Linked DNA regions of Anolis sagrei. The protein of the gene in region 3 purifies or fractionates together with the protein of the main gene of each other region. This does not show direct contact. Links are inferred from orthologs where the notes say so. Each region holds a gene or a part of one and is shown on either strand. Other genes may lie near its edges. The genes, in order: PPP6R2, ANKRD44, PPP6C and PPP6R3.

Region 1 (7,825 bases), on a different chromosome or scaffold from region 3:
TTCCAGCAGTCACCAGCCAACCCCTCTCCAATGCTAGTGATACAGCTTAATTAGAAAATGCTGACCCTTTCCGCTACCTTGGCAGCCACCTCTCCACCAAAGTCAACATCGTCACCGAAATACAACACCGCCTGAGCTCTGCGAGTGCAGCATTTTTCCAAATGAAGCAGAGAGTGTTTGAGGACCGGGACATCCATAGGGAGACCAAGGTGCTTGTCTATAAAGCTATTCCCCTCCCAACCCTGCTCTACGCCTGCGAGACATGGGCAGTCTACAGACGTCACATGCCTCTGAAAAATCCTGCAAATCTCTTGGGAAGACAAGCAGACAAATATCAGCGTGCTGGAAGAAGCATTGAAGTGATGCTCCTCCGCCATCCACTCCGCTGGACTGGTCACGTTGTCCGGATGCCCGACCACCGTCTCCCAAAGCAGTTGCTCTACTCCGAACTCAAGAACGGACAACGGAATGTTGGTGGACAGGAAAAGAGATTTAAGGATGGGCTCAAAGCCAGCCTTAAAAACTCTGGCATAGACACTGAGAACTGGGAAGCCCTGGCCCTTGAGCGCTCCTGCTGGAGGTCAGCTGTGACCAGCAGTGCTGCAGAATTTGAGGAGGCATGAATGGAGGGCGAAAGGGAGAAGCGTGCCAAGAGGAAGGCACGTCAAGCCAACCCCGACCAAGACCACCTTCCACCTGGAAACCGATGCCCTCACTGCGGAAGGGAGAAGATGCAGATCAAGAATAGGGCTCCACAGCCACCTACGGGCCCAGCCCCAGGTTACCACTCTTGGAGGAACATCATCCTCGGACTATGAGGGATCACCTAAGTAAGTAAGGACAACTAGTTAAACGTGAGCCAACAGTGTGATGTGGTGGCAAAAAAAGCCAATGGGATTTTGGCCTGCATCAACAGGAGCCTAGTGTCTAGTTCCAGGGAAGTCGTGCTCCCCACGCTCTATGCTGCCTTGGTCAGACCACACCTGGAATCACACTGTGTCCAATTCTGGGCACCACAATTCAAGAGAGATATTGACAAGCTGGAATGTGTCCAGACAAAGAAGGTGACTCAAATGATCAAGGGTCTGGAGAACAAGCCCTATGAGCAGCGGCTTAAGGAGCTGGGCATGTTTAGCCTGAAGGAGAGAAGAATCATAGAATCCTAGAGTTGGAAGAGACCTCCTGGGCCATCATCCAGTCCAACTCCATTCTGCCAAGAAGAAGGAATGTTGCATTCAAAGCACCCCTGACAGATGGCCATCCAGCCTCTGTTTCAAAGCTTCCAAAGAAGGAGCCTCCACCACACTCCCCCCGGGGCAGAGAGTTCCACTGCTGAACATTCCTCACAGTCAGGAAGTTCTTCCTCATGTTCAGGTGGAATCTCCTCTCTTGTAGTTTGAAGCCATTGTTCCACTGCGTCCTAGTCTCCGGGGAAGCAGAAAGGAAGCTTGCTCCCTCCTCCTCCCTGTGGCTTCCTCTCACATATTCATACACGGCTCTCATCATATCTCCTCTCAGCCTTCTCTTCTTCAGGCTAAACATGCCCAGACTAAGAGTAGCCATGATCAGGATCATGTATAAATATGTGAGGGGAAGTCCTAGGGAGAGGGAACAAGCTTCCTTTCTGCTTCCTTGGAGGCTAGGACGCAATGGAGCCATGGTTTCAAAGTACAATAGCCATGGCTTCAAACTACAAGAGAGGAGATTCCATCTGAACGTGAGGAAGAACTTCCTGACTGTGAGAGCTGTTCAGCAGTGGAACTCTCTGTCCCGGTGGGAGAGTGGTGGAGGCTCCTTCTTTGTAGGCTTTTAAGCAGAGGCTGGGTGGCCATCTGTCAGGGGTGATTTGAATGCGATTGTCCTGCTTCTTGGTAGAAAGGGGTTGGACTGAATGGCCCAGGAGGTCTCTTCCAACTGTTTGATTCTAGGATTCTATGCATGTTTAGTCTGCAGAAGAGAAGGCTGAAAGGAAACATGAGGAAGGCCATGGATCAATATGTGAGGGGATGTTCTAGGGAGGAGAGGGCAAGCTTCCTTTCTGCTGCTCTGGAGGCTAGGACGCAATGGAGCCATGGGTTCAAGCTTATGAGATCCCACCTGAAGATGAGGAAGAACTTCCTAACTGTAAGAAGTGCTGTTCAGCAGTGGAACTCTTTGCCCCGGAGGGAGTGTGGTGGAGGCTCCTTCTATGGGGGCTTTGAAACAGAGGCTGGATGGCCATCTGTCAGGGGTGCTTTGAACGTGATTGTCCTGCTCCTTGGCAGAATGGGGTTGGACTGGATGATGGCCCACCAGGTCTCTTCCAGCTTGAGGATTCTATGAGCCGTGGCTCCTCTCCACTTTCCTCTCCCCTGAGGGCGAAAGAGGCCCGTCTCTCCAGGGTGCTCCTCCTTCGAGGGAGCCTCCTTCCTTCCTTCCTTCGGGGTCTCCAGGGCTGTGGCCCTCTGAGGGGGAGCCTCCCCTTCCTCCCCTGGACCCCTTCCACCTCAGACTCCCTCGCGCTCTCTACTTGTTTTGCCCAGATTGAGAGCCAGGGCGATTCCGGGCAAAGAGGCGCCAGGACTCTTCCTTTCTCTCTTCCTCCCTTGGGGCCAGGCCGGGCCTCCTTTCTCCCTGGGGCGCCCCTTGCAGGCACCAAGGAAGGAAGGAAGGAAGGCCTCCCTCCCTCCCTCCCGGATGGGCCTGATCGGCCTGGAGGAAAGGAACGAGGCGGAACTCACCCGGGGCCCGCGCCACCGTCGTCGTCCTCCTCCTCCTCCTCTTTCTTGCTCGGCTTCCCTTCTTGGCGGCTCCGGCTCCAAAATGGACGCCTCAAGGAGCGCAGCCGGAACCGGAAGCGGCGAGCCCCGGAAGCGGAAGGGGCGGAGCTTGAGGCGCTTCCCCGCCCGGGCCGGCGATGGAGGAGCCTCCGAGCGGCGGCGCCCTCCCCTCCCGGAGCCCCTCTCTTCCGCCGCCGCCGCCTCAGGAGGAGGAGACCCCCTCCCCGCCCGCGCAGCCCTGGGCCCGGCTCTCGGCCTGGCTGGAGTGCGCCTGCGCAGTCACCTTCGACCTGGAGCTCGGGCAGGCCATCGAGGTGGGAGGAGCGCGGGTGACGTCACGGCGCCCCCTGGCCCCGCCCCCTCGTCTGGCCCCGCCCCCTCCTCGCCGCTCTAACGCCCCTCCCTCCCTTCCCTTCTTCCCTTGCAGCTGGTCTACCCGCCGGAGCCGGCGCTCAGCGAGAAGGAGGTAAGCCCCGCCCACAGGGAGCCAGGCCACGCCCCCGGGGAGGGAGGCCACGCCCCATCAGGAACAGCCATAGGATTTAAAGGGGAAACACCAGGCCTGGGCCCACTGGGGACCTCCCTCTGGGGGTTTTGGACTACAACTCCCACAGTTCCTCACAGCCGGTGGGAGTTGTAGTCCAAAACCCCCAGAGGGAGGACCCCAGTGGGCCCAGGCCAGGGATAGATGCGGCTGGTGTTTGTAAACTCTCACAAACATTAAAAAGCTTCCCTTGGTTAGTTCACAATCGAATCCTGGGAGAGCGGGTTGAGCTCCCCCTGTCAGCTCCAGCTCCCCATGCAAAGGGGACCTGAGAGAAGCCTCCCTCCCACAAGGGTGGGAAAACATCTGGGCAGCGTCCCCGGGGCAATGTCCTTCCAGGCGACCAATTCTCTCACACCAGAAGCGACTTGCAGTTTCTAAAGCCACTCCCAACACACACACACACAAAATACACAACCATTTCTTCAACCTTTTGGAGAATAATAATAATAACAACTTGATTTTTATACCCCGCCAGCCATCTCCCCAAGGGGACTCGGGGCAGCTTACAAGGGACAACAATTACAGATAAAACACAATCAAATTAAAAACATCAGATAAAATATAAAGACAATCACAATTGTAAACAACAACAAAATAATATGGCTGAGAAAGAACACAGCCGCAGTCCAGGCTCCATGAATGTAGTTCAGCCTGGGGAGGGAGTTCCAGAGCCATGGGGGGGGGGCACCACTTGCACTTTGGCCCGGTTGCTTCCCTGCAAATCTGCCCTTTTCCCCATACTCCCAAAACACATTCTCTCCCTTCCTCTGAGAAAGGAGCAAGTGGCCAGGCTCTGCGTTGCATGGCAGACCGGCCTCCCTGCCAGACACACAACTCCTTCCCATGGAGAAGAGCTTGGTGGAGGCCAGACCAGGAATATTTTAGGAATATTACAAGGTCTCTTACGGAGCAGTATTTCTGCTGATTCTGTTCCAAGACGTTGAATAATAAATAAATAAATAAATAAACTTTATCTATAACCCGCCACCATCTCCCTAAAGGGGACTCGGGGCGGCTAACATGAGACCAAGCCCAAAAATAATATAGCAAAATAAAATACAACACAATAGAAAGATTACATCACAACAAAATACATAAAATAGCAAAGTAAAATAAACAGTGCAAAATGATATAATTAAACTGAGTTGTTATAGGTATTTCGGGCTATATGGCCATGGTCTAGAGCAGTGGTTCTCAACCTGGGGTCTCCAGGTGTTTTTGGCCTACAACTCCCAGGAACCCCAGTCAGTTTACCAGCTGTTAGGATTTCTGGGAGTTGAAGGCCAAAACATCTGGGGACCCACAGGTTGAGAACCACTGGTCTAGAGGTATTCACTCCTGACGTTTCGCCTGCATCTGTGGCAAGCATCCTCAGAGGTAGTGAGGTCTGTTGGAACTAGGAAAAGGGGTTTATATATCTGTGGAAAGCCTTCAACAATACATTGATATAATAAAAGTCAATCACAAAGGGCGGGCCAAATGCACAAGATAAAATATTAAAGCCTTGGATGAGGTCGGGATAGAAGAATTGTATTTGTGCGGGAGGAGCCAAGGAGGAGGAGCAGTGACGGGGTTTGGCCTTCATTAGGAAGGCCAAACACAGTCAAATAGGAAGCCACAGGGAGGAGGAGGGAGCAAGCTTGTTTTCTGCTTCCCTGGAGACTAGGACGCAAGGGAACAAGGGCTTCAAACTACAAGAGAGGAGATTCCACCTGAACATGAGGAAGAACTTCCTGACTGTAAGGAGAGCCGTTCAGCAGTGGAACTCTCTGCCCCGGAGCGTGGTGGAGGCTCCATCTTTGGAAGCTTTGAAACAGAGGCAGGATGGCCATCTGTCAGGGGTGCTTTGAATGCAAGATTCCTGCTTCTTGACAGAATGGGGTTGGACTGGATGAGGGCCCACCAGGTCTCTTCCAACTCTAGGATTCTAGGATTCATTAAGGACGGGGGAAAGTGCCTCATGAGGACAACTGTAGATGGGAACAAACACAAAATGGGTGAAAGGGTCACTCTCCGAAGACAGTTGAAGAAGGTGACTCCCATCGGTTCCTGGGCAGATGCTGACTTTCCTTAACTGACCCTTGGTTTCCCTTCTCAAGGAGCCTTGCTGGCTTCCTTCTTAACGTAAGGAACCTTGTAAACATTCCCTTAACTTCAGGAGCCATTGCCTCTGATGACGTAAACACGACATTTTTCATCCAAAGTTTAGCAGTTAATCATTTCTCTGTGGTCGTCAGCAGTTGAGCAACTTTTAATTACGGTTCAGCAGTGTAGTTGTGTTCCAGGCCTTCGTATTTCAGAATTGTGTTTTCAGCACAGTGGGGGCCCCTTCATCCCCCTCCCACACAATTCCCTTCAAGCCCTGCATCCTCTTTCTCTCCCCCCCCCCCCCCACGCTGTGGCCACCCCCAGCCTCACCTCACTTCCTCTGATCTTTCTGCAGAAGACCAGCATCTGCTACCTGGCCTTCCCGGATTCCTATTCAGGTGAGTGGAGAAGGGGGCACGGAAGGGGGCCAAAGGGAGCCTCGGGGGGGGGGGGGGGGAGAGGCAGCCAGAAGGGGTCCTCTCTGCCTCTGCCCCCCCCCTCACCTGCCACTCCCTTCCATCTCCCTTCCTTCCTTCCTTTGCCAGGGAGCCTGGGGGACACGCAGTACTGCTTCCGCTTCCGCCAGTCCGGGTCCCGCCTCCGGGAGCGCCCCTGGGCCCAGAGCGCCACCGCCTGCCGCAAGGAGGCCCCCGCCGCCCTGCAGGTCAGGAACACAGGGGCCCCGCCTGGGGATTGGGCCCAAAATGGGGGCCACAAAGCCTCAAGGGCCTCCTTCTTCCTCCCCTTCTCCCTCCCAGCAGGAGACGGCCCACTACTTTGGCTACGTCTACTTCCGGCAGGTCAGGGACTCCTCCGTCAAGAGGGGGTACTTCCAGAAGGTGAGTGGCCACCGTGTCCCCCCAACCCCCCCCCCCCCATGCGTGCACATCCACGGGCCCAGCAGGACCCCTACAAGGGGGATTGTATCTCCGAGAGCGACACAGACACTTCTCTCTTCACGTGTGTGCGTGTTTCTCCCCCCCCCCCCCTCTGCCTCCGTGTCGCAGTCCTTGGTGCTGGTCTCCCGCCTACCCTACGTGAACCTCTTCCAGTCTCTGCTGCAGCTCATTGCCCCCGAGTACTTTGACAAGCTGGAGCCCTGCCTGGAGGCCGGTGAGGAGGAGGAGGGGCACTTTGCAGGGGGCACTTTGGGGGGGGGGGAGCCTCCTGGGCCATGTCTGTGGGGCAGAGGCTGCCGATTTGCTGGCTTTGTCCAGCCTGAAGGGTCCGTGGTGGGGAGGGGGCACACGCCACCTTTCCTGGCCTGGGTGAGAGGGGGGGGCCACGGGCTGTGAGGCAGCCTGGCTTGTGTTGCCAGCAGAGCCTGAGCAGAAGGGGGGGGGGGGGTCCCCAGTCCCTGGCTAGAGGTGGTGGGCTCAAGTGGCCCAGCACTTTGCAAGGGGGCACTTTGGGGGGGGGGAGCCTCCTGGGCCATGTCTGTGGGGCAGAGGCTGCTGATTTGCTGGCTTTGTCCAGCCTGAAGGGTCCGTGGTGGGGAGGGGGCACACGCCACCTTTCCTGGCTTGGGTGAGAGGGGGGGCCCACGGGCTGTGAGGCAGCCTGGCTTGTGTTGCCAGCAGAGCCTGAGCAGAAGGGGGGGGGATCCCCAGTCCCTGGCTAGAGATGGTGGGCTCAAGTGGCTTTGTCCAGCCTGAAGGGTCTGTGGTGGGGAGGGGGCACACGCCCTCCTGAAAGGCCTTTCCTGGCCTGGGTGTGAGGGAGGGTCACGGGCACCTCCCCAGGCTGTGAGACAGCCTGGCTTGTGTTGCCAGCAGAGCCAGAGCAGAAGGGGGGGTCCCCCAGTCCCTGGCTGGAGGTGGTGGGCCCAAGTGGCCTGGCTGAGGGGTGTCTGCTCCCCTTCTCTGCCTCCCTCCCCCAGTGTGCAGTGAGATTGACCAGTGGCCCCCGCCGGTGCCCGGCCAGACGCTGAACCTGCCTGTGATGGGCGTCGTCATTCAGGTACCGCGACAGACCTTCTCTCACACAAAACTGGGGGGGGGGGGCCTCTGGGACCCACCTCTCCTGGTGAAGCCCCCCCCCCTCCAAAGCGCAGCCTGGAAAGGGAGCGGACTTCGCAGGACGGCCTTTGCTCCACAGGTGCGGATCCCCTCCAAGGTGGAGAGGCCCGATGCCAGCCCCGTGCTGCCCCTGAAGCAAGAGGTGAGAGCCGCCTGGGGTCTGGGGCGAGGGTCATCCCCTGTGCCTCCCCCAGCCTCAAATGCCTGACCACCCCTCTCCTCCTCCTCTCCCTGAGGGGGTGCCAGGCCACTCCCCCTCTGACCCGCCCTTTGGCCTCTGTGGCGTCTTGGCTGCGAAGGGCTGGCCTGGCCTCTGGGCATCCCAAGATCCCTGCCTGGGTGGCATTCCCCGCCACTGGCCACAAGAGCTCATTGCTGGTCAGATGCCCCCTCCCTCCCCCCCCTCGGTCGAC
Region 2 (7,837 bases), on a different chromosome or scaffold from region 3:
CTTTACTAAATTAGAAATCCAAAGATTCCGTAGCATTGAGCCATGTCAGTTAAAATGGATTCAAACTGCATTAATTATATGGTGAAGATGTACCCCGAGCGAGTGAGTGAGACAGTCATATTCGGTACTATTCCTGTTTTGTTTTTGTTTTTAATTCTTTTATCTATATTTTTTACATTGTGGAAACAATCTGATTCAATTCTGCCATTTTGTTTCTTTACTTTTGGCAATAAATTTAAAACATTCATTCAATGTATCTACGGCCTTTCATGACCGCAAATTGCTGACATGATTCTTACTGTATTAATAGAATCACAAAGGCAGCAAATGAATGTTGATGCTAATCCTTTTGCACAGCTTGGCTCCCACCAGATGTGCCAGATTAGTAATCCCAACATCCTCAGCCAGCACATCTGATAGGAATTGTAATATATCTAGAATAGATCTGATTGTGGAAGGTTGTTTAGTGCCTGCACAACAAGACATTGATGATAACGTTAGCCACCACATTTCTTTAAGTGTCTTGATTACTTAAATATCTATATAAATAAAAATGTAATGTTCATTTGTTGGATTAACATAACTCATAAACCACTGGATGAATTGACACCAAATTTGGACACAAGACACCTAACAACCCATTGTATATCCTTCATTCATTTTTTTTTATTTTCTCATTTGGGAGTTGTAGTTGCTGGGATTTGTAGTGCACCTACAATGAAAGAGCATTCTGAACTCCACCAATAATGGAATTGAACCAAACGTGGCACACAGGACTCCCATGACCAACAGAAAACACTAGAAAGGTTTGGTGGGCATTGACTTTGAGTTTGGGAGTTGTAGTTTACCTGCATCCAGAGAGCATTGTGAACTCAAACAATGATGGATCTGGACCAAACTTGGCACAAATATTCCATATGCCCAAATATGAACACAGATGGAGTTTTGGGGAAATAGACCTTGACATTTGGGAGTTGTAGTCACTGGGATTCACAGTTCACCTACAATCAAAGAGTATTCTGAACCCCACGAACGACAGAATCAGGGCAAACTTCCCACACAGAACCCCCAGGACCAACAGAAAATACTTAAGGCCATCCAGTCCAACTCCCTTCACCAGGGCAAGAAAATGTAATCAAAACCCTCCTAACAAAGAGTCATCCAGCCATAGATATAGATAGATATGATTCACACACACACAGAGATATAGTATCATTGATTTGAAAGGGACTCCTAAAGAAAGACAATTATATGTTCTTGTTTCATGGAAGCTTTGCTTGGAAAATTCATGTTTTAAGTGCCTTTGTTTCATGGCTTTGATTCTTGGATTCTATGCTTTTATATTCATACCTTGGATTCATATTTCCTGATTTCTTGCATTTTATTTGGGAAGTTTTGACTTTGTTTTTATGGACTTTGCTGGACTATTACCCTGGACTACTTCGCTCCTGCTTTTCTTCCTACCTAATTGGATTTACCTATTTATTTAAAGTGTGTTTTTTTTTTTACTTTACTGCTTTTAATTATCTTCAATAAAAGGATTGTTTCCCTATCCAATGGTGTGGTATTTAAAGTCAGAGGGCAACAGACGGTAGCATTTGCAGGCCAATAGGAGAGTGTTCCCGACCTCCAGTGTAGACTTCCCTCTGTCCAATGGCTGAAGTGGGGCAGGAGAGTCCAGGAGATGAAGTATATAAAATGTCTGTTTTTATATTTATTGTACCAGTTTAAAATCCTTCCCAGTATAATTGCCATGTAGATGTGATTTTATTGATTATTTTTCCAATCGGAGCAGACCCATTTAATCAGTTGTTGCCTAGAGAATCAACACACAGACAAATCTCATTTAATAATGCTCAGTTAGGACTAACCAATCGCCTCTAGGCAACAATCCACCAAACTAATATAATTCCGATGTCATAAATCATGCTTTAGTATCTAGATGTATATGTGCGCACTGCAATAACTCTAGGCATTTATATATGTATATTGGGGCATGTTAATTCAGTGCATACTTTTGTCTAGACTTTCTACCAGCTTCTGGCCCTGGAATCTCTGGCATTCAGGTCTCTAGTTCAAATCTCAGCTGCTCCTTTCTGTTGCAGACAAAGATTTGGATGGAGATCTGGCAGGATTTAAAGACTAAGATACAACATGCCCCTTCTATCGGAAGGACCGTGTTTTGTCCAAACAGGCACATCATTAACAATAATTACGGATAGCAATGATGATTTAGCAATCTTTTCCCACGGCTATTAGTTTGAACAACACAAGCACAGTCTGCAAGCTTAGCATCTAAATGTCCAATTAATTTACATGTGTCCCAGTCCTGAATAAATGAAGTCCCCAAGTTACGAACAAGATAGGATATATGTGTTGTCGAAGGCTTTCATGGCTGGAATCACTGGGTTGCTGTGAGTTTTCCGGACTGTACGGCCATGTTCCAGAAGCATTCTCTTCTGATGTTTCGCCCACATCTATGGCAGGCATCCTCAGAGGTTGGAAACTACGCAAGTGAAATTTATATACCTGTGGGAGAAAGATCTCTGTTTGACGCAAGTGTGAATGTTGCAATTGGCCACCTTGATTAGCATTGAATGGCCTTGCAGCTTCAAAGCCTGGCTGCCTCCTGCCTGAGAGAATTTATTTATTTATTTAAAACTTTTGTATCCCGATCTTCTCTACCTCCATAGAGGGACTCAAACCGGCTAACAGCAAGGAATCAATGCTAACAATACAATCTAAAACATCGTACATCAACAATAAATTAAAATACATATAGACTAAAATACATAAAAGCCATTGCGTTTATCATGTCCCACTCAGCCGCATATGTGGTCGATAACTTGAGTAAATTGCCAGTCTCCGCCATCATTCTGGGAATGCCTCGTTCCATAGCCAGGATTTCACTAGCTTCATGAAGGTCAGTAGGGAGGAGGCAGATCTGATCTCAATTGGGAGAGAGTTCCATAGCCAGGGGGCCACCACAGAAAAGGCCCTGTCTCTTGTTCCCACCAGACGCGATTGCGAGGGTGAATCCTTTGTTGAGAGAATCCTTTGTTGGGAGGTGTTAGCTGGCCCTGATTGTTTATTGTCCGGAATTTCCCTGTTTTTGAGTGTCGTTCTTTATTTACTGTCCTGATTTTATGATTTTTTAATACTGGCAGCAAGATTTTATTCATTTTCATGGTTTCCTCCTTTCTGTTGAAATAGTCCACATGCTCATGGATTTGTATGTACGTTGAAACAGTGTAACTCCAACCACATACATATGCATATGCATAGTGCTTTGGATAGCATAGGGAAGGGGTAAACACCCCTGTGAAGTTTGTGCATCACTACATCTATATGGCATGTATGTATATGTAGATTCATCACTACATCTATATAGTATGTATGTATATATATAGATGCATCACTACATCTATATAGTATGTATGTATATGTAGATGCATCACTACATCTAGTATGTATGTATATTTAGATACATCACTATATCTATATGGCATGTATATATATGTAGATGCATCACTACATCTATATAGTATATATGTATATATAAATGCATCGCTACATCTATATAGTATGTATATATATATAGAGATGCATCACTACATCTAGTATGTATGTATATTTAGATAAATCACTATATCTATATGGCGTGTGTATATATGTAGATGCATCACTACATCTATATAGTGTATATGTATATATAAATGCATCACTACATCTATAGAGTATGCATGTATATATATGTAGATGCATCACTACATCTATATAGTATATATGTATATATATAGATGCATCAATACATCTAGTATGTATGTATATTTAGATACATCACTATATCTATATGGCATGTATGTATATGTAGATTCATCACTACATCTATATAGTATGTATGTATATATAAATGCATCACTACATCTATATAGTATATATGTATATATATAGATGCATCACTACATCTAGTATGTATGTATATTTAGATACATCGCTATATCTATATGGCATGTATATATATGTAGATGCATCACTACATCTATATAGTATATATGTATATATAAATGCATCACTACATCTATATAGTATATATGTATATATATAGATGCATCAATACATCTAGTATGTATGTATATTTAGATACATCACTATATCTATATGGCATCTATATAGTATGTATGTATATATAAACGCATCACTACATCTATATAGTATATATGTATATATAGATGCATCACTACATCTATATGTCATGTATGTATATGTAGATTCATCACTACATCTATATAGTATATATATATATATATGCATCACTACAGCTATATAGTATGTATGTGTGTGGGTGCATCTATATATCTCACACTAGAGAATGAATCCACTGCCTCCTGCAGAACACTGGGGTTTGTAGTTTAGGGAGAAGCCTTGAACAGCCTCCCTAAACTACAAACCCCATAATTCTGTAGGAGAAAGAAACCGGATTTTAAGTGGAATCATTCTCTAGTAGTGTGATGGAAATCTATATATCTGGACGCTAGGGAGAGAAAGCCGGGTGAGACACAAAGGAAAGGCTTTCCCGGGCCGGTCCTGCAGGGGGCAGCAGAGCGCTTTCCCGGCCAGGCGGGTGGGCGGTGCGAAGGCGCTTTTGCGGCCGGGCTCGGCAGGGGGCGCTGTGGCGCAATCCGAGCGCGGCTGCCTGCGCTGCGCATGGCTATATGGTGCGTGTGTGTGTGTGTGTCTACAGGGGGTGATGTCAGTGCCCCGAAGCCAGAGCGGGCTTGGCCAGGGACCAGCGGCAGCAGCAGCAGCAGCAGCCACGGGCTCGCTCTCTCCTTGATCCAGGAGGAGGACCGCCAGTCCATGCCTTTGAGCCAGGAGAGGGAATGGCAGTCCTCAAGCTCACCGACCAGGTAAGACAGAGAGAGACACATACAGACAGACAGACAGAGAGAGAGAGAGACAGAGAGGAGGAGGCTCAGCTGCAAAGGCTGAATGGCCAGAGCTGCTGAAGAAGCATTAGCAGCAGCATGTTGTTGTTGTTGTTGCTGCTGCTGCTGGATTGTAATTGTTGTTCTGGAGAGGAAGTGGGTGCTTGGCTTCCCATCTCCAGGGCTTGATCCTTGCAAAGGCATCCTTTCAGGGTTGGCTCCTTTGCAGGGGATCCCTCTGCTCATTGCCTTTCTGTGGCTTCTTTCTTTCTTTCTTCCTCTCTTTCTTCCTTGAGAAGGCATTTTTGGAGATTCACATCCTTCCCATTTCCTTCCCATTTCCCCCAGTAGCTTTAATAGCTTTGGATCCAGGCAGGAGGGGAGAGGAGAAGGCCAGCCATCTGTATTATTATTATTTATTATAGCATACTATAATATATTATATTACTATGTATAATATTATATCATTGTATTATGTGATGCTGTATTATTGTTTTATATTAGACTATATTGTAGGGTTGTTTTCTATTATATTATTGCTTTATTCTTGTTTTATATTATACTATATTATTCTTGTTTTATATTAGACTATATTATGTTATTATTATTACTGTTTATAATATTATATATTATATACTATTATATATTATATATTATATACTATTTTATATTATATATTATATATTATATATATTATTATATTATTATATACTATTTTATATTATATATTATATATTATATACTATTTATAATATTATATTATAATATTATATCATTGTATTATGTTATGCTATATTATTGTTTTATATTAGACTATATTGTATGGTTGTTTCTTATTATATTATTGCTTTCTTCTTGTCTTATATTATACTATTTTGTACATATTTTCGTTTTTTGAATATTATGAATATAATTGTTTTATTGTTTTACAATTTATTGATTTATTTATGACATTTATATGCCGCCCTTCTCACCCCGAAGGAGAGCTTACAAGTAAAAAGTAAATACAATATATTATATTATTATCATAGCATAATAATAATATTATATATTACATTGCACAGTATAACATTATACTGTAATATTATTAGTAATATTACATTTAATTCAAATGTAATACAAATGTAATATAAAGCCGGGAGGACTGAAGACCGGCAGGTCACAGTTTCGAATCCGGGGAGAGGCGGATGAGCTCCCTCTATCAGCTCCAGCTCCTCATGCGGGGCCATGAGAGAAGCCTCCCACAAGGATGATAAAAACATCAATCATCTGGGCGTCCCCTGGGCAACGTCCTTGCAGACGGCCAATTCTCTCACACCAGAAGTGACTTGCAGTTTCTCAAGTCACTCCTGACACGACAAAAAAAAATTAATACAAAATAATTATATTATTTATTATTATTATTATTAGTATATTGTATTATATTATAATATTATCAATATTATAACATTGCTATATTATTCATATTGTCAAGTAATGGCGAATTGACAGTTATTTTATTACTTTTTATACACATTATTGTTTTATATTATATCCTCGTTTTATGAATATTACAATCATTATTTTATTGTTTTATAATAAAGATTATAACATTGTTATATTCATATTGTTGTCAAATAATGGCTAATTGACCGTTATTTTATTACTTTATTATTTTGTGCACATTATTTTGTCAGTACTATTGTTTTATATTATATTCTTGTTTTATGAATATTACAATCATTATTATATTGTTTTATAATAAATATTATAACATTGTTATATTAGTCATATTATTGTGGAATAATGGCTCAATGACAGTTATTTTATTATTTGTACACATTATTTTATCAGTACTATTGCTTTATATTATATTATAACCTTGTTTTATAAATATGACGATTGTTATTTTATTATTTTATAATATTATATTCTATTATTCATATTGTTGTTGGATAATTGTTTAATTTAAAGTGATTTCTTAGTATTTTTATTATTTTATACATATTACTTTATCAATATCCCATATTTAATATTTATTTTATTATTTTGTACATATTATTTTATCACTTTGCCATTTATTATCATCATCATCAGGCCACCCTGTTCCTCCGCTGTACAAACCCAGTTTCTCTCATTGCCCTGTGAGATCAAGAGTTGTAAAAAATTACTAATATTGTTGAATAATTATTTAATTTCAATTGGTTTCTTATCTTTTATTATTTTATACATATTACTTTATCAATATGACATTTATTTATTTATTTTAAAAATTATTGTATGCACATTATTGTATTACTTTCCATTTATTATTATTATTATTATTATTATTAATCATTATCATGATCATTAGGCCTTCCTGTTCCTCTGTCGTGCAAATCCGGTTTCTCTCATTGTCTGGGGAGATCAAGCAGTTGTCAAAATCCTGGAGAAGGCTTTCATAGCATTAATGCAATAATAAACACCTCTCTCCCTGTGTGTATGTAATGTATATGTATGTATGTATACACTGTGTGTGTGTTTGTGTGTGTGTGTATATATCTATATCTATATCTATCTATATATATATTCATGCCTTGGGATGGTTATTGGACCAGTAGGGATTATTGTGGTAGGTTGGTTTGTATCTTGATCACCTTGAACTTGAGATCCCTCCACATTTTTTATTCTGCCGCCTCCTCCATCTGCATCCTGGGGGTGGGGAGGGAAGCGAGGGAGAGGAGAAAAAAAATATCTCTGTAACCATGATAGGATTAATTAAAACATCCTCTGTGATCTCTGGCATGGCTGGGGGTGTATCCTGCAGTCTTTACCCATCAATGCTTTGAAACCCTGGGATTTGTAGTTTGGTGGAGCACAGACATCCTTTGGCAAAGACTGTGCAAAACTGCAACTCCCATGATTCCGAAGCTTTGAACCGTGACAGTTCA
Region 3 (7,675 bases):
CCCACTAGCCCTCATTAGGCTACAAACAAACAAACAACATCATAAAGAGGCGAGACACGCTGAGTAGCAAAACAAAAGAAACAGCTACCTTGAAGATTAAGTTGCAATGTTATGACATTAGTAAATGTATACATTTTCAGATTTCTATTTATACACACCATAAATATGTAGTTTGTGTCGGGAACTTGGCCTCCAGTTCTGAACAATTCACATAAATCATAAAACTGAAAGGCAAAAAAAGAAGACAATGTTAAAGATTATATCAAAGCAGAGGGTGCTGGTTGGTATTTATGAATTTTAATAGTGTTTATTGCTGTATTGTTTTGAATTATTAATTGTTATTACTCCTATATTTAATTATATTGTAATGTTTATTAATGGGGCCAAAGTGGCACAATGGGTTAAACCCTTGTGCTGCTAAATTGTTGACCTAAAGGTTGGCAGTTCGAATTCATGGAATGGGGTGAGCTCTTGCTGTTAGCCCTAGCTCCTGTCAACTTAGCACTTCAAAAACATACAAAGGTAAATAGATAAATAAGTACTGCTACAGCAGGAAAAGACAGCAGTCTTGCAGGCCACATGACCAGGAGGTGACAACACAGGCTCCTCGGCTTGCAAATAGAGAACACCTCCCCCAGAGGCAGAACAGAGCACTACACCTCCAGAAACCGGAAATGAGAAAGGACAATCCTTTGCCATGTCTGTGTTTGTGTCTCTTATTGTATGGGACTGTAAGGCATTGAACGTTGGCCAATGTCTGCTGTAAATGCTGTTATCTGCTCTTGAGTCCCCTCGGGGAGATGGGTGGAATATAAATAAAGTGCATCATCATCATTTTTAATAATGTAATGCAATATAATACTACTAATAATATTATTATAATAATTATATATTTTCTATTACATGTAATATTATTTATTATTTATTTATTTATTTATTTATTTGCTTTATTTCTATACCGCATTTTTCAGCCCAAACAGGCGACTCAATGGTACAATTACATGGTACAATTATCAAACAGTGTCAGTGCAATTAAAACATAACAATGCAAAAAGGAGGATCAACAGCATCAATCCACAACAATTAACAATCAAACAAGACAAATCAACAAAACAAACATAACATAACGCCTCAGTTGAATCAGATCCGTTCTCATAATCATTCTGCCATTCCTATGTTCCATTTACCGTCTTCCTTTGATTGGTTGCACTGCTTAACCAAACGCTTGTTCATAAAGCCAGGTCTTAACCATTCTCCGAAACGTCAGCAACGAAGGTGCCTGTCTGATGTTTGCCGGTAAGGCATTCCATAGCCGAGGGGCCACCACTGAGAAGGCCCTGTCTCTCGTCCCCGCCAAGCGAGCCTGTGACGTAGGCGGGATCGAGAGCAGGGCCTCCCCAGACGATCTTAATGTTCTATTATTAATAATATTACAATATAATGGTATAGTACAATATAGTAATAAATAATACTGATATTGTACTATGCTAATAACATAATATATTGTATGTATATATATCTTGTAAGCTGCTCTGAGTCCCCTTCGGGGTTAGAAGGACGGCATATAAATGTCATTAATAATAATAATAATAATAATAATAATAATAATAATATACATTAGTACACAATAAACAAGATCACCATGCTGGCTTTTGTACTGGAACACATGTCAGACACTTCTCAAGCGTCTAAGACTGTGTGATGTATGAACAAATAATGAGTGCATATCTGAGTAGGGCAGCCGTTTGCAGCTGACAGATGGTAATTTTGCCAGCGCTGATTGTTTTTAAATGCAGGTCAAGGTCTTTAGGCACTGCACCCAGTGTACCGATCACGTTAAGCTATAGCAACTATTGCTTAGAAAGCCAAAACCACTATATGGAAGAGGAAAATACCATCAAATTCTCCACAGTATGTAAATGCGTGAGAAATCTCACCTGTCCATGGATGTCGCCACAGACTGTAACTGGGGTAGAAACCGGCTGCACATTTGATTCTTCTAAGAGCAGGTCACACACGTAGTCACATAAGCGCTAGAACGAGGACATCGTTTTAATACAAGAGCTCTCCATATTGTGAACAACATAATTGCAAATAAAAACACAGGAACATTTCTGGCTAGTAATGGCTGAAATGACCACATTGTGCCAACAGAAGTAAAACCATACCATCTCCAAGCCCAGTTCGAAGTGCTTCTTGTAACCTTTAAAGCTTGAAACACCTCAACTGAAAGATCATTTCTTGCTCCCTCTTCCTTGTAACATCCTTTCACATATTTGTACATGGCCCTCGTGTCCAAAACCCTCGTGTCTCCTCTCAACCCCTCAATAGAATAGATCAAAGGATGGATAGAATAGAACAGATCAATGGAATGAATTTAGTGTTTATATACAATACACACAGTGCATGACTTCTCTATATCTCCATCTAAACCTGGCCTGGGTCAACTTAAGCCTTCCCTCCAGGTGTTTTGGACTTCAATTCCCACAATTCCTAACAGCCTACCGGCTGTTAGGAATTGTGGGAGTTGGAGTCCAAAACACCTGGAGGGAAGGCCCAACTTGGCCCAGGCCTAGTGTAATAGGCTTCGGGCCCTCTTCCTCCTCCAGGCCTCACCTTGAGGTCGTTCTCGGGCAGGTATTTGCAGAGCCGTGCGATCTCCACATACTTATCCAAGTCCAGCGGCGCCATTTTGGAAAGCGGAAGGAAGAAGGGGCATAGGAGAGTCAAGGGACAGGAAGCGAGAGCGGCCACTTCCGGATTGTGTCAGAGGACATCCGCTCCTGAGCGTCCCGGCCTCTGCGCAGGCGCAGAAGGCGCCCTCTCCTCCTCTGTCGGCTCTACGCATGCGCCGAAGAAGCCCTCTTTCCTCTCAAAGGCCCTTTCCTTCTCCCGCTTTGTGCCCAGACTCTGCGCAGGCGCAGAAGACTCCCTCTCCGCCTCCGAAGGGCCTCCCCTTCGCCGCTTCTGCGCAGGCGCAGAAGACACCCTCTCCGTTTGCGAAGGGGCTTCCCTTTGTATTCCGGCCCTTTACGCATGCGCAGAGGAAGCCCTCTTTCCTCTCAGAGGGTTTGTGCCCAGCTTCTGCGCAGGCGCGGAAGACACCTCCGTTTTCCGATGGCGCTTCCCTTTGTATTTCCTCCCTGTACGCATGCGCAGAGGAAGCCCTCTTTCCACTCAGAGGGTTTGTGCCCAGCTTCTGCGCAGGCTCAGCAGACACCCTCTCCACCTCCGAAGGGCCTCCCCTTCGCAGGCGCAGAAGACACCCTTCCGCTTCCCTTTGTCGCTCTATATTTCCGCCCTTTGCGCATGCGCAGAAAACCCTCTTTCTTCTCAATGGTCCTTTTCGTTCGCGCTTCTTTTCGTTCGCGTCTCTACGCATGCGCGGAAACATTCCTTCCGTCTCCGAAGGCCTTTTCGGTCTCTCTGTGTTCGGCTTCCGCGCATGCGCAGAGGCGTTTGGATTGGTTCTTGGCGAAAAAGGTGGCAGGTCGACTGCAGCAGCCTGGAGGCGGGGCTTAAAATCTCCTAGCAACGACGAAGAAGGCGTGGCGACAGCACCAAACCCCGCCCCCTTTGCATCAATGTCGCCAGCGGCGCTGGAAGAGCTGAAGCCTGGGAGCAAACCGGAAGTAGCCAGCTGGTGCGCTGTAAACACGGGTCTGCGGTGCACGTGTGAATGCAGATGGGGGAATGAATGCGTGTTTTAATGAAATATGTTTTAATGTTTTAATGAAATATGTTTGTCTCACCAAAGTCCTAGAATATAGGGCCAGGGTGGTTCAAGTGGTATGAAACTGGGTTAACTCAGCAGTGTAGATAAGGAATGGGTCAACTTCGGCTCTCCCTCCAGGTGTTTTGGACTTCAATACCCACAATTCGCTGTTAGGAATTGTGGGAATTGAAGTCCAGAACACCTGGAGGGAGGGCCGAAGTTGACCCATTCCAGATATAGATATTCCGAGCTGTGGGTGAAATGTCAGGAGAGAATGCTTCTGGAACATGGCCTGCAAAACTCACAGCAACCCATTAAATTATTATTATTATTCTATTTGTAGGTACTCCCTGGTTCCCTTTGGGGAGGGCCCTTGCCCCCGCGTCGGCCATGTCTCGTTTCACCTCCCGAACAACAAGAAAGGCACCGTCCTCATCGTCGGAGGGGCCGACCCGAACGGCAGCTTCTCCGACTCCTATACCCTTGACCTCGGTGAGGGATCAAACCGCATTAACTCCCCGGTGTAGACGTTTTTTGTTTATGTATTTGGTTTCATTCTGCTGTAATATGTTGTCCGGGCTTGGCCCCATGTAAGCTGTTTCGAGTCCCCACTGGGGAGATGGTGGCGGGGTACAAATAAAGATTATTATTATTATTATTATTATTATTATTATTATTACTTGGACCAAGTGGTGCTTTCTCACCTGTTTGTCTCCCAACAGATGCGCACAAGTGGAGCGCCCCAAAGTGGTCAGGCCTTTTGCCCCGATACGAACAGGCTGCCTTCATTCCCGAAAGCCAGCCCACAAAGCTCTGGGTCTTCGGAGGAGCCAGCGAAGGTGGCAACCGGAATTGCCTGCAGGTCTTGGACCTTCGTAAGTATTTCTTGTTTTCTACGAAGGTTGAATGAAAAGTAATGTCTCCACCTTCGTAACTTCTCAATAGATGGCAGTACTGGTATGTGGCAGGTACTGGCTTGTCCAGTAGACTCTCCTCTACAGTTCCATTTTGGCGGGAAGCCTTAGCATTGAACTGTTGTGTTGTTAAAGTGCAAAGTATGGAACCCTGCGCAGATGGTCAGTCAATACGACTTAAGCAATGTGCAGTCATTGAATTCTTGACAGCAGAAGATGTCACCTCAACACCAGGGGCTCCATTTCTAATAAATAATAATAATAATTTATTTCTTACCTCCCTCTCCTTTAAACTTACTCACCCAACAACGCACAGTACTCACATCAACACAACCACCACAAGCAGCTTGCATTCTCTGATGAATCTCTTTTGGGGTGACACCTTCTGCTGTCAAGGATTCAATGACTGTGGCTGGCATGACTGCATGAAACACCATTACCTTCCCGCCGCATATTTTCAAACTGCTAGGTCAGCAGGAACTAGGGCTAACAGTGGGAGCTTCCCCAGCTCCCCCAATTCAAACCACCTACCTTTTGGTCAGCAGCTCAGCAGTTTAATCTGCTGTGACACCAGGGGCTCCATTTCTAATAAATAATAATAATTTATTTCTTACCTCCCTCTCCTCAAGGTGGGGCACAACATTGTTGAATGCATCTGTAAAAGCAGTATTTAAAAAAAGCTTGTCTTCTGTGCTATGCTAATAATGTAATATATTGTATATACATATAATATTTATATTATATACAATATAATATAATATTTATATTATGATCTAATTCAATATAATACTAATAATATATTATAATTAAATATTGTATATTACATGTAATATTACTAATAATATTATAATATAAAGATATAGTAAAATATAGTAATAAATAATACTGATATTGTACTAGGCTAATAATATAATATATTGTATGTATATATATCATGTAAGCCACTCTGAGTCCCCTTCGGGGTGAGAAGAGCGGTATTTAAATATCATAAATACATAAATAAATAAAAACTGCTTTGGATCATAACTAAGATCCCCATGGGCCTTTTAAGCATATACCTATGATATTGATATATCCTGAGGCAGTGTGGGATATTTGGGGACCCCTCCACCAGCACCAAGTGCCGCTCTAGGCCAGAGTGAAGAGAGTACAATATCAGTATTATATATTACTATATTGTACTATATCATTATATTTTAATATTATTAGTAATATTACATGTAATATAAACTATATAATTAAAATATATTATTAGTATTATTTTATATTACATTATAATATTATAAATATTATATGTATATACAATATTATATTATATTATATTATATTATATTATATTATATTATATTATAATGTGGAAGGACGGCTGTAGTTCCTTCCAAAATCCACTGACCAAACAATGGTTTGTCTGCTTTCCTCCTTAGAGACTGGCACATGGGAGAAGCCGGAGGTAAGCGGGACTCCTCCATCCATTCGGACCTTTCACACGTCCACAGCGGCCATCGGGGACCGTTTGTATGTCTTTGGAGGCGGCGACAAAGGAGCGGACCCTGTTCAAGACCAGCAGCTTCACATATTTGACTCAGGTTAGCTCTTGAGTTTTGGTTCTTGGGAAGTAAAAGAGGTCCCTAGAGTTGGAAGAGATCTATGAGCTTTTAAGTAGAGACTTGTTTATTTTGTCAAAACACATCCTGTGATTTTCGACTGCTTCAAAGTACAGACTGAATGGCATCTGTCGGGAGGGATCGGATTGTGCCTTCCTGCCTGGCAGAAGGGGGTTGTTGGACTTGCATGCCCTTTGGTGTCCCCTCCAACTCGAAGCTTCAATTGACAACAATCTGATTGGATTTTGGGAGGACTTTTCTCCCATCTCACCCCAGTGTTTCTCATCCCACGTAGCCACGTTGACATGGCTCCAACCGGAGGTTTCGGGCCAGGCTCCCACGCCTCGGCATGGCCATGCAATGGTGGCCGTCGGGAGCCGACTCTTCATCCACGGCGGCTTGGCCAGCGACACGTTTTACGGCGACCTCTTCTCCATTGATATAAGTAAGCGCAAATGGGTTTGGATTTTTCGACCCTTTTTCATTCCAGCTCTGAAATCTTATGGACTACGGGTGCATTTACACTGTCAACTCAAGCATTATAGTAATTTGGAAGGACGAAGGGTGCATTTATTCTGCAGAATCCATTATTATTATTATTATTATTATTATTATTATTATTATTAGTAGCAGTAGTAGTAGTAGTGACCAGGGTGCATTTACACTTCAGAATCTATTATTAGTAGTAGTGCTACTAGTAGTAGTAGTACTATGGACCAGGGTTGTATTTACCCTATAATTTAATCTATTATTATTATTAGTAGTAGTAGTAGTAGTAGTAGTTACTAGGGGTGCATTTATTCTGCAGAATCTATTGTTATTAATGTTATTGTTAGTAGCAGTAGTAGTAGTAGTAAGGACCAGGGATGCATTAACCCTGCAGAATCTATTATTAGTAGCAGTGCTACTAGTAGTAGTACTATGGACCAGGGGTGTATTTACCCTACAGAATCTATTATTATTATTATTATTATTATTATTATTATTTATTAAGTATTATTAGCAGCAGCAGTAGTAGTAGTAAGGACTAGGGGTGCATTTACTGTGCAAAATCTATTATTAGTAGTAATGCTACTAGTAGTAGTACTATGGATCAAGGGTCTATTTACCCTACAGAATCTATTATTATTATTATTAGTAGTAGTGGTAGTAAGGACTAGGGGTGCATTTATTCTGCAGAATCTATTGTTATTGTTAGTAGTAGTAGTAGTAGTATTACGGACCAGGGATGCATTAACCCTGCAGAATCTATTATTAGTAATAGTGCTACTACTAACAGTAGTACTATGGACCAGGGGTATTTACCCTACAGAATCTATTATTATTATTATTAGTAGTAGTAGTAGTAGTAGTAGTGACCAGGGGTACATTTACTCTGCAGAATCTATTATTATTAAGGGTGTATTTCTTCAAAGATGAAAAATGAGAGAGATTCCTAGCTG
Region 4 (8,008 bases), on a different chromosome or scaffold from region 3:
AATAAAAGAGAAAAATTTTGAATGGTCTTAATCTTCTCAGTCTGAACATAGTTTAAGATACATTATTTCAAGTTTGTTTAGTTAGCAACTTGCATTTTTTTTAAAGAACTGGTGTTCATTTTAATATCAACTAAACATTTTCCCTACACTGTATCCAGGAAGCAAGAAGAGTGTACTGGTTAGAACAGAATCAGAGTAATAGGATCATAGAGATGAAAGAGACCTCATGGGCCATCCAGTCCAACCCCCTGCCAAGAAGCAGGAAAATCGCATTCAAAGCACCCCTGACAGATGGCCATCCGGCCTCTGCTTAAAAGCCTCCAAAGAAGGAGCCTCGGGGACAGAGAGTTCCACTGAACAGCTCTCACAATCAGGAAGTTCTTCCTAATGTTCAGGTGGAATCTCCTGAAACAGTTGTATTTTTGTGGGATTAGAAGTCCTGCCAAAACTTTTTGCCTAGAGCTGGTTGCTTATAGTTTGGCCTTTTGGGTTATCACAATGATAAAGCAGTTCAACACACTAGATTAATTCTCATTACTCATTCAACTCAAAACCCTGCTTGAGGGATTTCTTTAGCTCAAAAACCAAGTGCAGGATTATACTTCACTCAAGTAAATAAAGGGTAACTTTACAACTATTCTACATTAGTCAGACCTCACCTGTGTCCAGTTCTGGGCATCACTGCTAAAGAAAGATATTGACAACCTGGAATGTGTCCAGAGAAGAGCAACCAAAATGATCAAAGATTTGGAAGCCAAGCCCTGTGAGGAATGGCTGAAGGAGCTGAGTATGTCTAGCTTAGAGAAAATAAGGCTAAAAGGGACATGAGAGACATGTTTAAATATATGAAGGAATGTCACATTGAGGAGAGAACAGGCTTGTTTTCTGCTCCTCGGGGATACATTGAGCAATAGATTTAAACTGCAGGGGAGGGGATTAGGAAAAACTTCCAGGTGGTAAGAGCTGTTTAGCAGTGGAATCTGCTGCCTTGGAGTCTTCTTTTGAGGAGTTTAAGCAGGGCCTGATGGACATCTGTTGGAAACGCTTTAATTGTGTATTTCTTAATGGCAGAATGGAGTAGGACTGGATAGCTTGGGTGGTCTCTTCCAACTCTATGATTCTATCTCCACACAGGTAAAGAAGTGACTTCATAGCCTAAAGTTTGTTTAAAAAAAAAAACCTGAAAAATGAGACGTACTGCAGGTTTTTTTTTATAAAAGTGGTTCCAGCAGGGAACATGAATAGACAATAATATTGCAAAAAGGTTGGTGTGGACAAGGAAAAGGGCCTTCTCAGTGGTGCCCCCCCCCCCCAACTCTGGAATGCCCTCCCCAGGGAGATTAGACAGGCATCTACACTCACGGCATTTAGGAGGGACTTGATGGCCTGGTTATTTAAACAGGCTTTTGGCAGTGATTAGTCAATCTTTAGGATATGGATTTATGATAACATGCCTCTTTTAGCTCATAGGAATGATTGTGTTTTAAATCTAATGTTCATAATTTTATTGTTAACTTTTGTTACTTGATTTTCTAGTTGTGTCCAACTCTGGGGGGTGGTGCTCATCTCCATTTCTAAGATAAAGAGCTGGCGGTGTGGAGCGCCATTACCTTACCACAGAAGGGGTGCGTATTGATGTACTCACATTTGCATGTTTTCAAACTACTAGGCTGGCAGAAGCTGGGCCTGACAGCGGGAACTCACTTCGCTCCCCAGATTCGAACCACCAACCTTTCGGTCAGCAAGTTCAGCAGCTCAGGGCTTTAACCCACTGTGCCATCGGGTATGTGTTATTGTTTATTCCACTGTATGTATTTTACTAGCCGTCCCCTGCCACACGTTGCTGTGGCCGTTTGTGTATATGTGTTTTGTGTATATATATGTGTGTGTATATGTGGTTTTGTGCATGCATTGTAATGAGGAGTTGTTGTTGTTTTTTTGTTTTGTTTTTAAGTCCCTTCTGCTGTGCTTTCCAGTGTTTTATGAGTGATGGTCACTCGTTGGCCTGATAGGTGTATTGTGTCCAAATTTGGTGTCAATTTGCCCAGTGGTGTTTGAGTTATGTTAATCCAAAAAACGAACATTATATTTTTATTTATATAGATTGTATTGTATTGCATTTGTTGTATTATTTATGATGTAAGCCGCCCCGAGTCCCCTGGGGAGAGGGGGCAGATATAAACTATTATTATTATTATTACTACTACTAATAATAATAATAACAATAATAATAATATTATAAATGGATCTCTTCGTGCAAGAACGGAGAAGAGTTCCCAAGCCAACAAGGCCGACCGTGAGGCAGAAAGGTGTGAATGGGTGAGGGGACACACGTGCCCCCGCCGCTCCCACCTCGGTGAAAGCACTGAGGCTGGATGACCATCTCTCGGGGTTGCTTTGATTGTGTTCCTGCATGGCATAATGGGTCTGGGCTGGATGTCTCTTCCAACTGTTTGATCCCGTAAGGGCTGCTGACCCAAGCCCCCGGGGGTCGAGGAGAGGAGTTTCCTCGCCCAAGAGCCCCTTCCTCTCTCTCTTACGGCAAGAGGGTGCATGCAGGAGAAGGCCATGGCGGGGCGGAACAGGGGGAGAGAGGGGGAAAGGCACCCCGAGGGGCCTGCGAGGAGGAGGAACAGGAGAAGAAGCAAGCCACCAGGCCGCTGAATGGCAGAGAGAAAGGCGGGACGGAAGGAGCCCTGTGGCCGCTCGCCACGGAGCCAATGAAAGAAGCAAGGCCAGGCCTCGGCTCAAACCCTTCCTGCCCTCCCCTTAGAGAAGCGGCGGCGGCGGGCCCCCCTTCTTCCCTCCTTCCTTTCTCCCCGGGCGGCACAAGGATGGACGGAGGAGCCGTCCTGAGAGGAAGCGGACCCCCGCCCGAAGCCCCTACCTCAGCCAGTGCGTCTCCCCCTGGCGGAACCCCCGCTCAGGCGGGAAAACGGCCGCTCGCCGCCATTACCGACTCTTCAAGATGGCGGACATGGCTCTCCAGAGCCTCCTCTCTCCCCGGTTCTGCCTCCCTCCCTCCCCCCATTCCTGCCAATCATTCCTCCGCGGCGCACACCTTTCCTCATCAATCGCCTCTCCTATTGGACAACGGGGAAAGCCTCTGTTTGCTATTGGCTTACCTATGCTGTCGATCACAAGGCAAGGCGTTTGCCATTGGTCAATAAAAGGATAAGGGCCGGGGTCACGGCTTCATTTAACCCAATCAGCGTGTTCAAATGGGCCCCTCTCAGTTCTCATATTCACGCCTTAGCAACAATGTTACGACACCTTGAAGGACATTCAAACCACCCAACCAAAATCTTCATTGCCGTTTAAAAATAAACCCACAGTGGCCAATCACTTACCGTAGGGCTCTGACCAATGAGAATTAAAGGAGGCGGAACTGAAGACGTTCTTCATACGTGTTTTCCTATTGGACATAATAAAAAAACCACTCCCCCAAAGAGAAACTAAAATCCGAAACTGCCTGGCAACAGCGCATCTTTAATAGCAGTGGGTGTGGCTAAAAGAACGTTGTTCTGGAGGGCGTTTAGATATCTCCCATTGGAAAGCAGCCGCCGGGAGGGGAATTAGCTCAAATGGTAGAGCGCTCGCTTAGCATGCGAGAGGTAGCGGGATCGATGCCCGCATTCTCCAGTTTTGCATTGGGTTCTTCAGGAATCTAAATTCTGTTTTGTAGTTATGGTATCTCATAATAGACCGAAGCTAAAAATGCTTCATTCCGAATGAATGACAGTGTTATTCTTCACAATATTCTGGAGCTCTTGGGCTTTAAACTCTCAAAAATACCTCCCAAAACAGAACTTGGTGAAGCTCACTCTGGCAACTCTATAGCCAGCATCATCCAGGTCACAATATTCCCAATTTCAAAGGGAACCATTTTATTTAAAATGTGCTGGAAGAGTATGGTTTGCCAAAGTGATAAATGGGTCCTTGAGAAAATCCATCTTGAAGATCAATCCTGGGGGCTCAAGGCGGCTAACAAACCCACACATAATTTTAGAAGTTCAATACAAATACAACATTTTAATAATAATCATAATAATCACGATATGAGGATTTAAAGATTGAACTGCAAAGACTCAGGCACAAGCCAGTCAAGGTGGTCCCAGTAGTGATTGGCACACTGGGTGCAGTGCCTAAAGACCTTGGCCTGCACTTAAACACAATTGGCGCTGACAAAATTACCATCTGCCAGCTGCAAAAGGCCACTTTACTGCACGCGTTATTCGCCGATACATCACACAATCCTAGACACTTGGGAAGTGTCCAACGTGTGAGCCAATACAACAGCCAGCAGACTGATCTTGTTTTGTTTTTGTTTTTGTTTTTTTGTTTTTTTGTAAAATAAAAAAGTTCAAGTCAGGGATGGTGGTGTTGTCCAAACCAGAACCCTGAAACGTATCCCAAAATCCACAGCACCATATGTGCTCAGCAATGGAGTTCGCGATAACCTTTCCCCAAGTTTCAGGCAACTTTTGAATGTACCAATGTAAGACATCCAACTGGCTACTTTTCTGCCTCCACGAAATGTTCAGTAGAATAAATGGTTAATTGCATCTTTTGTGCCTCTGCAAGAATGCTCATTGTTTACCCCTATTTCAGCCCTTTTTAGTTAGAGGGAATTAGCATTTTGTATACAGTTTTGTGAGAGGTCAGTCTAGATAGCCTCTTTGCATTCGAAGCCTCCGTCACCCTGCCCCTTTAAGAATCCCCTCAGGGGCAGAGTATCAGGCAAGGCACTTCTAGCTCTTGGAGGAGTCAGGCCTTTTGGTGACTGGAAGGTGAAGACAGAGGAAGTCCAGAAAGTCTACAAAATAGCATGCTCAGTCAGAGCTGTATTGATGTCAGTCAAAGTTGTATTTAAGTCCAGCCAGAGTTAAATATTGAGACCATCTTAGAGACAGTGAACACCATACAAGAAAGACACAATAAGAAGAAATAACGATTCCAGAGACTCACTTTGGCCAGAACTCTGTCTATCTCTCAAATACTTTGCCTCTCCTCATAAAGGCTTTGTAGTGAGACTCAGAAGGAGAGAAGCCCTAAAATTCTTGTCAGTTAATAAATTCTTGTTTGATTTAGCTAAATAGTCTCTGATTTGTTCCCTGCACAGCCAGTTCACCTTCCAAGTAGTTAAGTCAAAACAACACCGCTCTAACTTCTAAAGTTCTATATCGTTTTGACTATCACTCTGCAAGACAGTTCCTTTTGCTTTACTTAGACCATCAGTTCTCAAACTGTGCTCCATGAAGCCCTTAAGCTCCACAAAGCACAGTCAGGGGCTCTGTGCTTCCCTCCTCTTCCTCCCCCCCCCCCTTCCCCTCCAAGCACATGGCAGTGGGAAAGAAGGGACTGGTTAGCTGGTTGTTCCCCCACTTCCGAAGCACTGGAAGCACCAGCTGCTGAAGCCCGACCACCAAAAGCAGTGCAGCGAAGAAGGGCAAGACCAGGGCCAGGAGGGTGGGGGCAGTGGCACCAGTGGGACTCTATATCGTTTTGACTATCACTCTGCAAGACAGTTCCTTTTGCTTTAGAGCAGCGTAGCGGTGGCAGCAGTGGGAGTCCTGTAGAGCACAGACCAAGGGTCTTCCACTGAAATACCATTAAGATTGTGTTGGTTAAAATTGTTAATATTTTAATTTTAAATGTTGTATTGTTTTTGTGGTGTGTTTGTGTTGGTTAAAATTGTAAAAAAATAAATATTGTATTGTTCTTTCTTTCTTTCTTTCTTTCTTTTTTCCACCTCAAACGAGAAGTGTGCATAGAAATTAGTTGATTAAAAAAAAATCATTCACACAAACACTCTCCATCCATTTGCCACTGGTCCAGCCCGTCTGTCAAATTTTAAAATGCAGTGCAGCCCTTATGTCAAAAGTTTGCCCATGCCTGATACACACACACATACACACACACATTTCTTGGGGCTCAATGATAAACCTTTCCTTCAAAAAGTGATCCATGGTTGAAAAAGTTGGAGAACCTCTGACTTAGACTAATAAATGGGTTTCTGTATGAAAGGCTTTCTATCAGATAGAATTTTCGTTTTCCATGTGATTGAGCAATGCACTGTCACTCAGATTCCCCACCACCCACTGATACTCAGATCACACCTCTGTCATGAAGGCTGCCTCGGGAGGTTTTCTTCTGATATGCAGTCCTGCTCCAGACATCATCTCGTGTGACTTGAATCTTTGCTTGCATGCTTCCTGCAATCTTAAATCTTTGTTGCTGTGCAAATTCTTCCGGCTTTATTCATCATCTCCTAATTTCTCTTCTTGCTGACTTGTTTATATTCTGTTCATGGCCTCCCAACCATATATACTGTCCAGCCAGAAACCTCTAGCCAATCAGTTAATAATCATCTTCAATTAGTGGATACAAGCCCACCTTTCATAAATTGAGAAGACATAGGACTAACAAACTGCAGTCAGTCCCCAAGTTATGAACAAGATAGGTTCTGTGGGTTTGTTCTTAAGTTGAATTTGTTTGTAAATCAGAACAGGTACATTTTTAAGTGTAATACCAGTCAAATTAATATCATTGGATGACATAGGGCACTCCTGTGGGGTTTGTTTTGCTGTCTGAGCCCCTGTTTAGAAGATTTCACCTCACCTTCTGTCCCTGTGATTATTGGATTTTGAAAAAAAAATGGCTTGTTGTGGAAACAAAGATTGGTGATAAAGCTTCAGTGGAGACACCTTTCCCCCATGGTAAGTCTTTCAGGAGTGAATTTCCCTTCTGAGGAGTAGATTTTTCTCACTCCCTGTTGTCTCACCCTCCATTTGTAACATTGAGTCTTTTCTTAGTTGGATGTTTGTAACTCAGGGACTGCCTGTACTATGTTTTCAGTCCATCCAATCAAAATTTGCTATCCACTTATTCAGTCTATTTGTACATAGTCAGACCTTCCATATGCACAGATTTTGCGGCCATTCATGGTTTGAAAATATTGACACCCCCCCCCCCCAAAAAAACCAAACATTGATTTTGACATTTTATATAAGGAGTACCAATTTTTGTACACAAATATATATACAGAAACTGGACTCAAACATCCACAGATGTTGGTGTCCACAATATGGAAATCAAACTCCAGTGGATACCAAGGACCCCCTGTATAAGACAGAAACCCCTCTTTTGTATTTGCCAGCTATTTGTTTACCATAAGCTATAAAGTGGTGGGCTGAACTGCTCTTTGGCAATCTGCCATTTGACATTGACACCATGCTTCTCTGTAATCCAGTAATACAGTTTGTCTATACTTCACAATTAACTCTTCATCTCTTTGTTCTTGCTTCAGCAAAACCCCCCACAAATCTTTAACTTTTACCTCTGGTGACACTGCATTGGGGTAGTAAAGAGTGTCTTAGTACTTAGCATAGTGAACTATTTCCGAGAACTATTAATTTCAAAAAGTAGAAAAGTTGTGAATAGGTATATATTATTCATCTATATTCTGTTTAACGTTATCTGTGCCGAACACTATAAAATATTGGATTTATTAAAAAACAGTTGCCAAATAATCAATTGAGCTATTTGCTGATAGAAATCAGAATGAGATTTCCCTTAAAGGGAGCAAATTGACTGCAGCTATGTTATTTGGCTTTCCTTATGCATGGATGCAGCACAGCAATTCAAATTCCACAAGGGTAAAATAGGTGACCTACATATTGGCTTTGGACATCTGGTGTCTAATGTGTCCCTCCTCCTATCTTTTAACTCTTTCCTGTCCTCTGCATTCAAACACATAGAAGCTTCCACCTATTTCTATGGTGGCCTGCTAATTCACTTGAGAAAAATATTGAAGTTTGTGCCACCAGACTCTTTATTTTTGTTGTCTTCCAGTTTATGCTTAAGGCATAGCTTGAAGGTAAATGTACCTGTAAGCAAATCTTTTTTGGCAATGACTAATCCATAACTAACTATACTCCTTTAAATACAATACAGTTTTAGCACTACGAGTCTGCGTTAATTGCAATATATATATATATATCTTGGT

Evidence for each region.
Region 1: the proteins of PPP6C (region 3) and PPP6R2 purify together in Homo sapiens (affinity purification with mass spectrometry; 9 studies listed by BioGRID and IntAct, counting the BioPlex papers as one, with this or other methods). This does not show direct contact. The link is inferred for Anolis sagrei from reciprocal best matches to the Homo sapiens genes PPP6C and PPP6R2.
Region 2: the proteins of PPP6C (region 3) and ANKRD44 purify together in Homo sapiens (affinity purification with mass spectrometry; 5 studies listed by BioGRID and IntAct, counting the BioPlex papers as one, with this or other methods). This does not show direct contact. The link is inferred for Anolis sagrei from reciprocal best matches to the Homo sapiens genes PPP6C and ANKRD44.
Region 4: the proteins of PPP6C (region 3) and PPP6R3 purify together in Homo sapiens (affinity purification with mass spectrometry; 10 studies listed by BioGRID and IntAct, with this or other methods). This does not show direct contact. The link is inferred for Anolis sagrei from reciprocal best matches to the Homo sapiens genes PPP6C and PPP6R3.

What each region holds. Positions count from the first base shown.
Region 1 is NC_090025.1:200,514,386-200,522,210, reverse strand, and holds the start of PPP6R2 (serine/threonine-protein phosphatase 6 regulatory subunit 2), read right to left. Parts: upstream 3,092-7,825; 5' UTR 3,074-3,091; coding exon of another isoform or gene 2,897-3,073; exon of another isoform or gene 2,721-2,896; intron 1-2,720. Other genes in the region: protein DENND6B, read left to right, coding at 2,897-3,073, 3,187-3,225, 5,750-5,792, 5,940-6,058, 6,153-6,233, 6,402-6,507, 7,274-7,353, 7,492-7,554. UniProt on the Homo sapiens protein: Regulatory subunit of protein phosphatase 6 (PP6). May function as a scaffolding PP6 subunit. Involved in the PP6-mediated dephosphorylation of NFKBIE opposing its degradation in response to TNF-alpha.
Region 2 is NC_090021.1:178,796,799-178,804,635, forward strand, and holds the start of ANKRD44 (serine/threonine-protein phosphatase 6 regulatory ankyrin repeat subunit B), read left to right. Parts: upstream 1-4,718; 5' UTR 4,719-4,883; coding exon 4,884-4,910; intron 4,911-7,837. UniProt on the Homo sapiens protein: Putative regulatory subunit of protein phosphatase 6 (PP6) that may be involved in the recognition of phosphoprotein substrates.
Region 3 is NC_090031.1:6,410,527-6,418,201, forward strand, and holds the start of PPP6C (serine/threonine-protein phosphatase 6 catalytic subunit), read right to left. Parts: upstream 3,032-7,675; 5' UTR 2,692-3,031; coding exon 2,617-2,691; intron 2,034-2,616; coding exon 1,938-2,033; intron 225-1,937; coding exon 159-224; intron 1-158. Other genes in the region: RABEPK (rab9 effector protein with kelch motifs), read left to right, coding at 3,381-3,643, 4,059-4,207, 4,438-4,590, 6,054-6,215, 6,529-6,678.
Region 4 is NC_090021.1:239,335,216-239,343,223, forward strand, and holds the start of PPP6R3 (serine/threonine-protein phosphatase 6 regulatory subunit 3), read right to left. Parts: upstream 3,030-8,008; 5' UTR 2,888-3,029; intron 1-2,887.